Linked DNA regions of Daphnia pulex. The protein of the gene in region 1 interacts with the protein of each later gene in a pairwise test. Links are inferred from orthologs where the notes say so. Each region holds a gene or a part of one and is shown in the gene's direction. Other genes may lie near its edges.

Evidence for each region.
Region 2: the proteins of pumilio homolog 2-like (region 1) and brain tumor protein-like interact in a two-hybrid assay, tested with the Drosophila melanogaster proteins (2 studies listed by BioGRID, with this or other methods). The link is inferred for Daphnia pulex from reciprocal best matches to the Drosophila melanogaster genes pum and brat.

Annotation. Positions count from the first base shown.
Region 1 is NC_060020.1:2,897,280-2,901,097, forward strand, and holds part of pumilio homolog 2-like, read left to right. Parts: coding exon 1-55; intron 56-123; coding exon 124-210; intron 211-314; coding exon 315-1,915; intron 1,916-1,991; coding exon 1,992-2,154; intron 2,155-2,238; coding exon 2,239-2,447; intron 2,448-2,530; coding exon 2,531-2,737; 3' UTR 2,738-3,818. UniProt on the Drosophila melanogaster protein: Sequence-specific RNA-binding protein that acts as a post-transcriptional repressor by binding the 3'-UTR of mRNA targets.
Region 2 is NC_060018.1:6,794,488-6,798,928, reverse strand, and holds the start of brain tumor protein-like, read left to right. Parts: upstream 1-1,396; 5' UTR 1,397-1,831; intron 1,832-3,989; 5' UTR 3,990-4,081; coding exon 4,082-4,345; intron 4,346-4,441. Other genes in the region: harmonin-like, read left to right, coding at 1-593, 786-822. UniProt on the Drosophila melanogaster protein: A NHL-domain family protein that functions as a translational repressor to inhibit cell proliferation.

The DNA of each region.
Region 1 (3,818 bases):
CAGGTCCAGCTTCTTGCCCAACAACAATTTCTAGCAGCTCAGCAACAACAACTTGGTATTGCTTTTCGTGGCTTCATTTCTGCTCTAATACGGTGAATTAATTAGTCCGTTTGTTTGTTTCAGGACTAGCAGGTCCAGCAGGTGGCCCAGCTTACCCAAATGCACCGTACGTTATCAATCAAGAGCCGTACATGCAAACTTTGATTGCAGGTAAGCCATTCGTGTTTGTTGTGGCTATGTTCAGTGTTTCCTCGTCATGCTACAGATTAAGCCTTTTTTCGACAGCTCTTGTTAATTATGGATATTTTCGATAGGTCACGCAGCAATGATGCCACAGTACTATGGCATGGCGCCATGGGGGATGTACCCAGGAGTCATCCCGCAAGGGCCTGGTGCTCCTGGTCAAGTAGCACCCGGTCAACATCAACAGGGCCAACCAAGACGGCCGATGTCACCCAATTCGCTTACTGATCATCCGCCTGTCCACCAACCAGGTCAATATCAGGTCATCCCAGCGTATTATGACCAAAATGGATCACTGGTGATGGGTAACATGAGAGGGATCGGAAATGGTGGCATGAACGGTCCCGTTCGCTTGATGTCGCCCGCTCCAATGGTAATGCAAAATCCAAGTGGTCCAAATTCGGGCAATATGAGACTGTTGGGCAATCAAGGACAACAAATGTCTGCAGCAGCCCAACAGCAACAACAGCAGCAGCAACAACAACAACAGCAGCAGCAACAACAGCCATCGCTTTACAATAATGGCCAGCAGCAATCTCTGTACAGCAACACCCCGGGTCCGTCGGCTTCGCACTCTCACAACGGTCCCAACAATCCAGGCCTTGGCGGCCTGCAGAACATGCAACCAAACTCTGGGTTGGGAAGTAATTTTGGAGCCTTGGGATTGCAGCAAAGCAATAGCCTGGGATTCGGTAATAGCGCTTTGGGATCGATTGGTTCCCCGTCATTAGGCCTTGCGAATGGACAAGGGAGACGCGACTCTTTTGATCGGAATTCAACGTCAACTTTCTCACCGTCTTTGGGTGAATATGGCAGAGGAAAGTGGCCCCAAAATTACGGTGCCCTCGGAACCGTCACTGCTTCTCCTGGCCCGCTAGGCTTATCGTCTGGCTCGTTGACTCCGCCGCCTAACATGAGTGGAGCCTCCTCTGGGCTTCAACTCGGTTTAGGTCCGTTTGTTTCTGGCGGGCGGCTCATGTCGGCTGCTCCAGGATCAGAGATGATGAAGTTCCGCAACGGAGCTACCACGCCCAGCAGCGTTGGAGCCGGAGGTCTGTTTGGAGCGGGGGCGGGCGGTTCACTATTTGCCAAGATGGGAGGTGCTGGCCGCCAGCCACAACATCCTCACAACGGAGTCATTGGCGTCGGCCTCGACAAGATGACGGGACGATCAAGGCTACTGGAAGACTTCCGGAACAACCGCTTCCCCAATCTCCAATTGCGCGACATTGCCAACCACATTGTAGAGTTCTCTCAAGACCAGCACGGATCGCGCTTCATTCAGCAGAAATTGGAACGAGCTACGCCAGCCGAAAAGCAGATGGTCTTCACTGAGATCATAGTCGGCACGTACGCGCTCATGACGGACGTCTTTGGCAATTACGTCATTCAAAAATTCTTTGAATTTGGCTCGCCAGAGCAGAAGAGTACACTGGCACAGAAGATTCGTGGCCACGTTCTGCCATTGGCCCTCCAAATGTACGGCTGTCGTGTCATTCAGAAAGCACTTGAATCAGTGCCATCGGATCAACAAAAAGAAATCGTTCGCGAGCTAGACGGACACGTTCTCAAATGTGTCAAGGATCAGAATGGTAACCACGTGGTGCAGAAGTGCATCGAATGCGTCGACCCCATGCAGCTTCAATTCATAATAGACGCATTTGAAGGACAGGTAAAGAGAGACATTTCATATCACGGTTAACACCTTTCATTAATGTTAATTTACAATTTTTTTTTCGTTTCAATAGGTTCTTTCGCTGTCCACGCATCCTTACGGATGCCGCGTCATTCAACGCATACTCGAGCATTGCACTCCAGAACAGACGTCTCCAGTATTGAACGAGCTGCATCACAATACGGAAACCCTTATCCAAGATCAATACGGAAACTATGTGATCCAACACGTTTTAGGTACGGATCTGCTAAGTTTAATATGCAGGCATAGTTGCACCGTTACTCACTCTTTTTTTTTTATGTCGGTGTTTGTAACTTTAGAACACGGCAAGCCCGAGGACAAATTGCGGATCGTCACAGCCGTGAAGGGCAAGGTGCTGTCGTTGTCGCAGCACAAGTTCGCCTCCAACGTGGTGGAGAAATGCGTCTCGCACGCCACTCGATCCGAGAGAGCAAGTCTCATTGACGAGGTGATCAGCTTCAACGACGCGAGTCCGCACAGTCCCCTACACACCATGATGAAGGATCAGGTTCGTGTGCGAATTAGTGACGAAATCTCATCGCTGACAGCTCAAGAGCTCTAACCGTCTTATCTTATTTTTCTCTTTCGCAGTATGCCAACTACGTCGTGCAGAAAATGATTGATGTGGCCGAGCCGTCGCAGCGCAAACTGCTCATGCACAAAATCCGACCGCACGTCTCCACGCTCCGCAAGTATACTTACGGCAAACACATTCTCGCCAAACTGGAAAAATATTTCCTCAAGAATAACGTCGATTTGGGACCTATTGGACCCCCGTCGAATGGAGTCATCGGATGAAGCAAAAGCAGCAACACCACCGCTACAAACAGCCAACGACAACATTATTAAAAACTACGACAGTTAACAACAACAAGACAAAAAAAAAACACATCTTGGTTTAAAAATTCTCAACTTTTGGTTCTCTTTTTCCTCCCTCTCCCATCTTCTCATAAAAATGCGTTGTTTTGATTGGGAAGCCAACACCATTTTTGTTATTATTAATTTTTTTTTCTTTTTTTAAGTTGACGGATATAAATCAATTTTTTGTGGGTAGGGAAAGGAAACGGGCAAGTTCTTTCTGGTTTTGTCAAGGGTAAAAAGTAACGTTCAAAACTTTCTTGGATTTCTCAACTGACCATTTGTACCATACGTTGTGGTAGTGTACATTGTACAGCTTTTTCCTTACATGTGTACATTGTACAGGAAATTTCCCTTCGTATTTTTTTACTTTAAACCTTTTTTTTTTCGACTTCATCTATCCTCATTCAATCGACTGGTCCGCATCCTCCCCTCACCATCCTCCAACTCTGCATGATATTACGTTATAAAGTCGGAAGGGGGAAGAAATAACTTTTCTCTTCCACCGTCTCATTCGAGTTTCTCTTGGATTCTCGATCGGTATTTGATGGATTGTGTCGATAAGTTTCGCGGCTGTGAATCATCAATCCACCGAAAATGAAAACAGCTCTGTGTTTGATTCTTTTCCTCTCTCCCAGATGTTCACTTCAATTCGCTAGATTTAAAGGGGTCGGTTTAGATCGCCATCTTGGTGGTCCATTATTTGATCACTTCCTTTTTACCCACTTCGTGTCTACGCTGAGTTGCGCTTGCTTATTGATTTTGTTTTCTCTGCTTCTGTGTTTCTTCGTAAATTTCTACAAGCTACACACTCCGTTTGGGAGATTGGAGGTGCCGTTGCCAATCAAGAAAAACGAAACAACTCCTTTCACCACGATTTGTTTATTTCATTTTTTTTTTGTTCCTTGTTTTGTTCATTGCTTCTCCCTTCCTTCATTGACTTGAGAAATGACATCAATTTCCCCTTACTTGATCCCAAAACAGAATTTCCCATCCTCAATTAGCGTTTTGGTTTTCTGTA
Region 2 (4,441 bases), on another chromosome or scaffold:
GTGCCAGTTCCCGATTACGATCTTTCTGAAAAACCCCGAAAGATGGATGAATCCGGACAAGATGAGAAGGACGGAACTACTCCGACTACTATACGCAGCAAACCGGAAGGAACTAAGCCAGCTGTACGAGTGTCGATTGGTACATATCAAGAATTGCGACCTGAACCTACGAAATTGGATTTCTTGCCGCCGAAGAGACATAGTGTATCACCTGGCGGAGTAGGAAAGTCGTTGGACGGGGCCATCAAGAACCAGTTACAGACGGAATTGAATCAAACACTTTCTCGAGCCCGTTTGAGGCAGCGACTTCCTTCCTCTGATCTTGTTGATGAAGAAACAAAGAAACCCCCATCAGCTGAAATGAGTCCTGTTTTAAAAGAAATCTCTCCCGATCGACCACCACCTGTCCTATCGACATTCAGGCGGGCTCCATCATCAGATATTCAAGCTAAAATGGCTTCGTTGGCAGCTGCTGCCTCCACAACTTCACTTGGTGGAGGGTCGGCCCGTGATGTAACGATTTCTCAGTCAGCCGATAATAAAGTCACCATCAAAGTCCATCCCTACGTTTCCCGAACGGACTTTGGTCAAACGTAAGAGAACGATTCAGCAGCACTGTTATATTGCTCGGCTTGTAATCACACACACACCAAGTCACGCCTGCTTTCACTTTATTATCTAGACACTTTCCACGTTCAATGTTTTGTGTTTGAGATCGAAAGTTTTCGGGGGTTTATAAATATCTATTTACAGATTAATCGTCCTTTTTATTTTATTTTGGACAGAACGTACATCGACTGTGTCCCCGTGACCGAACTCTGATCTTCTTTTGTGTGTCGTCGAAAAAATACATCTCCTCCAGTGTACATTATTTTTCGCGTGGTTATATTTTCTTTTTGCATTTACACTTGGCTAGAAAAAGAAAGCCGGAGAGAAAGCACAAGATCAACAACAACAATGGCAACTTTCTATATCTATCATAAAAATGATGATGATGACTAGAGTAGCTACTGCCGCAAAAGTAAAAGAATTTTTCTGTTGTTGTCGTCGTCGAGATGTCGGGTCTCCACGACAAAGGTAAACAACAAATAGTTGCAACGTTTTTCAGGTACCTACATTCAGGTAAGGAATTGAAGTATGGCACCCATAAAGCCGCCATAGGCGACAGGCAGCTGCAGTGGTGCACACATTCTTCTTGGTTGGATTGAAAAATGAGGGGGTTCAAATGGAGTAGTGAATCGATAGGTCACGCCGTCTAGCCGTAGCCATGCCAATCTTGAACGTAATTGTATTAAAGAAGGCAGCGCGCGCACGCAAATGGAATACGACACGACCAGTGGTGGTGGTGGTGACCCACTGTTGATTCGTCGTCATGAAAAATATAAAATTTTACGATTGTTTCAACTATTCAAAGTCAAGAGAATCAACTCGTCTCGCAACATCTGCCACTCGATGTTGTTCTCGTTTTTATTCTCGTAATAATAAAGTGATGGCCAGGTGACGAATGTTTGAGGGCATGAAAGCGAGAAGAGGGGAAGAGAAACTCACACAGCAGCAGCAGCAGCCTTTGTTCGTTTTGTAGCGATTCAGCCGGCAGATGGCACGGCCACCACCAGGCGGCAGTGTGTCACTTGGTTGAGGAGGGGAGAAAGGAAAGGGGATAGATTCTTTTCGTCAGCAGCTCCATTCGTCTGAGAGCTGCTGCCAGGAACTGTTACACACAACAAGCACGCTCCAACGTCATGACGGCATCATCTTTGTGGTGAATCTCCAATGCCGTTATTTTTCAGCCTTTTACTCAACACATCGTCTCAACGTTTTAAGTTTTCCAGTAAGTCACAAATCTCATTTATTTTTGTCTTGCATTGTCATGTGTGTGTGAGCAACCAGTTGTCTCGTGGGGCCCTCGTGTTTTGTCTGGCAAGATGGTGGGTTAAATTGTTGGTATGTTATTCGAGTACGGTTTTATATATTGAGGTCAGGTGTAGAATTTTTGAATACGCGCGCCGTTTGAAAACGTGAAAGTCCCGCGCGTGCACGTGGTAACCGAACGTAGCGGTACTTTTTCTTCTTCACACTTTCAGTTGGTGGGAAATGCCGCGTGCAGAAAGAGAAACCGTGCGGGTGTCCCGCGTGCGGAAAAAGCAGGTCATCTGGCCAGTTTTACAAGAGAGTGAAAGGCAACTTAATGTGTGTTGGGAAGGTGGGGTTGACAGTCTTACACACACACACACACGACTATTGTCACGATTTTTCAAACGGTGAAAATGCGGGTTGATTGTCTCGAGAGGGAGATTTCTTATTATCTCGGTCACTACCAGTTATATAATAGGGATTACGAAAGTACGTTCACTTCTCGTATTTCTCCCCTCTCTTTTTTTGTTGGGTTTTGAATTCACCGAAAAAAGAATTTCTCTCTCCCCCCCTTTCATGTTTCCGGTATGGAGGATGTTGGAAGCAGGAACCCCCTCGGGCCTCTGATCTTCCCTACCAACTACTTTTGATTGTGTTACAGGGCAGCCCTGTATTTTTTAGCAATGGCCTCTTTTGTCTCCCCACCCCTGATGTGTCAGCGTCGGAGGGTGATACTAAGGGGGGAGAGCACGTGGGTTGCTATGGTTACCGTCCCCCTTAACATTCAACGAATCAGAGTGTCGTCACGATGAGAGAGAGAGAGAGGGTCAGCCCGGGTTGAAACGGAAACAGCTGTTGTGCGCGGCCAACATGGCGCAGCTGCCTACCAAAAAGAAAGAAAAGAATAGAGGGGGTATGGGTGTACTCACTTTTTTTTTCCTGACCCCCCCCCCCCTTTTCCTCAGGGTTTTTTGACCCATTCTCGAATGTTCCCCCTCCTCCTTTCAATCTATATGAAAGATGGTCTACTACACACAATAAAGTTTAGAGAAAAGACATTTTTGTCTGTGTCCAAAAACATCTTCCATGTGTGGGGGATGGGGAAGCTGAGATTCAGAGGGGTGGAATATTTCTGGGTTTCTTTGTGTTCAGCGGGGGTGGTAGAGAAGAACCCCAAACTGAAACCGTTGGGATCTCGTTGTTTGTTCCAAAAATTCCAAATGGGCATTGAAAAAAGTATTGACGTCGCTTTAGAGGGGGGGGCTCAGTGTGTGTGTGTGTGTGTATTGATCCGAGATGGAAAATGCTTGGGGGTTATTAGTTTGGATGGAGATTCGTTGGATCGATTCTCCCTCGTTCGTCACGTGATGAGTCAGCAGCAACACGTGCCTTAATCCGTTTGATTGGAGTGAATTAATTTTTTTAAATAGTCTTTTTATATGTATTTTTGTGTTTGGCGTCGTCACGAGGCAACACGTGTTCAGTAGTAGCCATCTTATTTGAAGCAGATCGATAACATCGAAAGTAACGTTCTGTGTGGTAGTCGTCGTCGTCGTCGTCGGATAGCAACACCCTCTGTCTGCAGCATTCTACATGTTGAAGTTGGGACGCCGCCCGATTATTGATCGGAAACCTGAGGTAGAGAAGGGGAACGTGGAAGAACCAGACACACACACAGCCCCTCTTGGAAAAGGAGGGATAAAGTACAGACAGGGGAGAGAGAGAAGGGGGGAGAACAAGAGGGGTTTGTCGGTAGCCAATAGGAAAGCTTCTTTTGTACATCTCCAACACAACGAACTGTGATCTCAAACACAAAACGCACTGATTCGGATTCACCACCGGAAGTTTATCTGAATTAAATGTATTTTTCTCGAATTTTATACCCAACAAAAGAAAAACCAAATCTTTTGGATGAAAGTAACTGGTGAAAAGTGGCCTACTTTCACGTTCACGCCAAAAAGGAAAAGGTGTATTATTTTTGCCACATTCACGATCCGAGAGAGAAAGTGCGTGACGAGGAATTTTCTCTTTTAGAAACTTTTCTTTAGATGTGTTTTCATCATGTTCTCTTTGTCCAAGTCGGTCTTGCAATTCCATGTGTAGTGGCAACAAGTTCAATTTCTTTCTTTTTCCAGGTGCCATTTGCAACTAGTGTCGATCGTCGTCATCATCGTTGTTGTCGTTCAATAAAACACAAATCTCTTGGTGCGATCGTTTAAATTTCGCCATGGCATCTTCGCCTAGTCCGTCCTCGTTGGATTCGGTCGGCACATCACCACTCGGTTCCTTCTCCGATCCCAACGAGCATCCGCTTTTGGCTCGCGATCTTGGACTCGGCCCATTGGTTGGTTACGGCGACAGTGGCGTTTTCAATGGAATGAATTCCACCAATTTTTCATCGTGCTCATCTATGATGCACAATTCAGCACTCAGCCTCTACCTCAACGGATTGGGTAGTAGCGGCAATCTGGATTCCGGATCAGCTTTAAAGGTATTTTACTTTTTCCCATCTAGCCCAAACACTAAGCCGATTGGGGAATCAGACGTAATTGAATACTAGAATGCTTTTATTCTACATGACAACAAT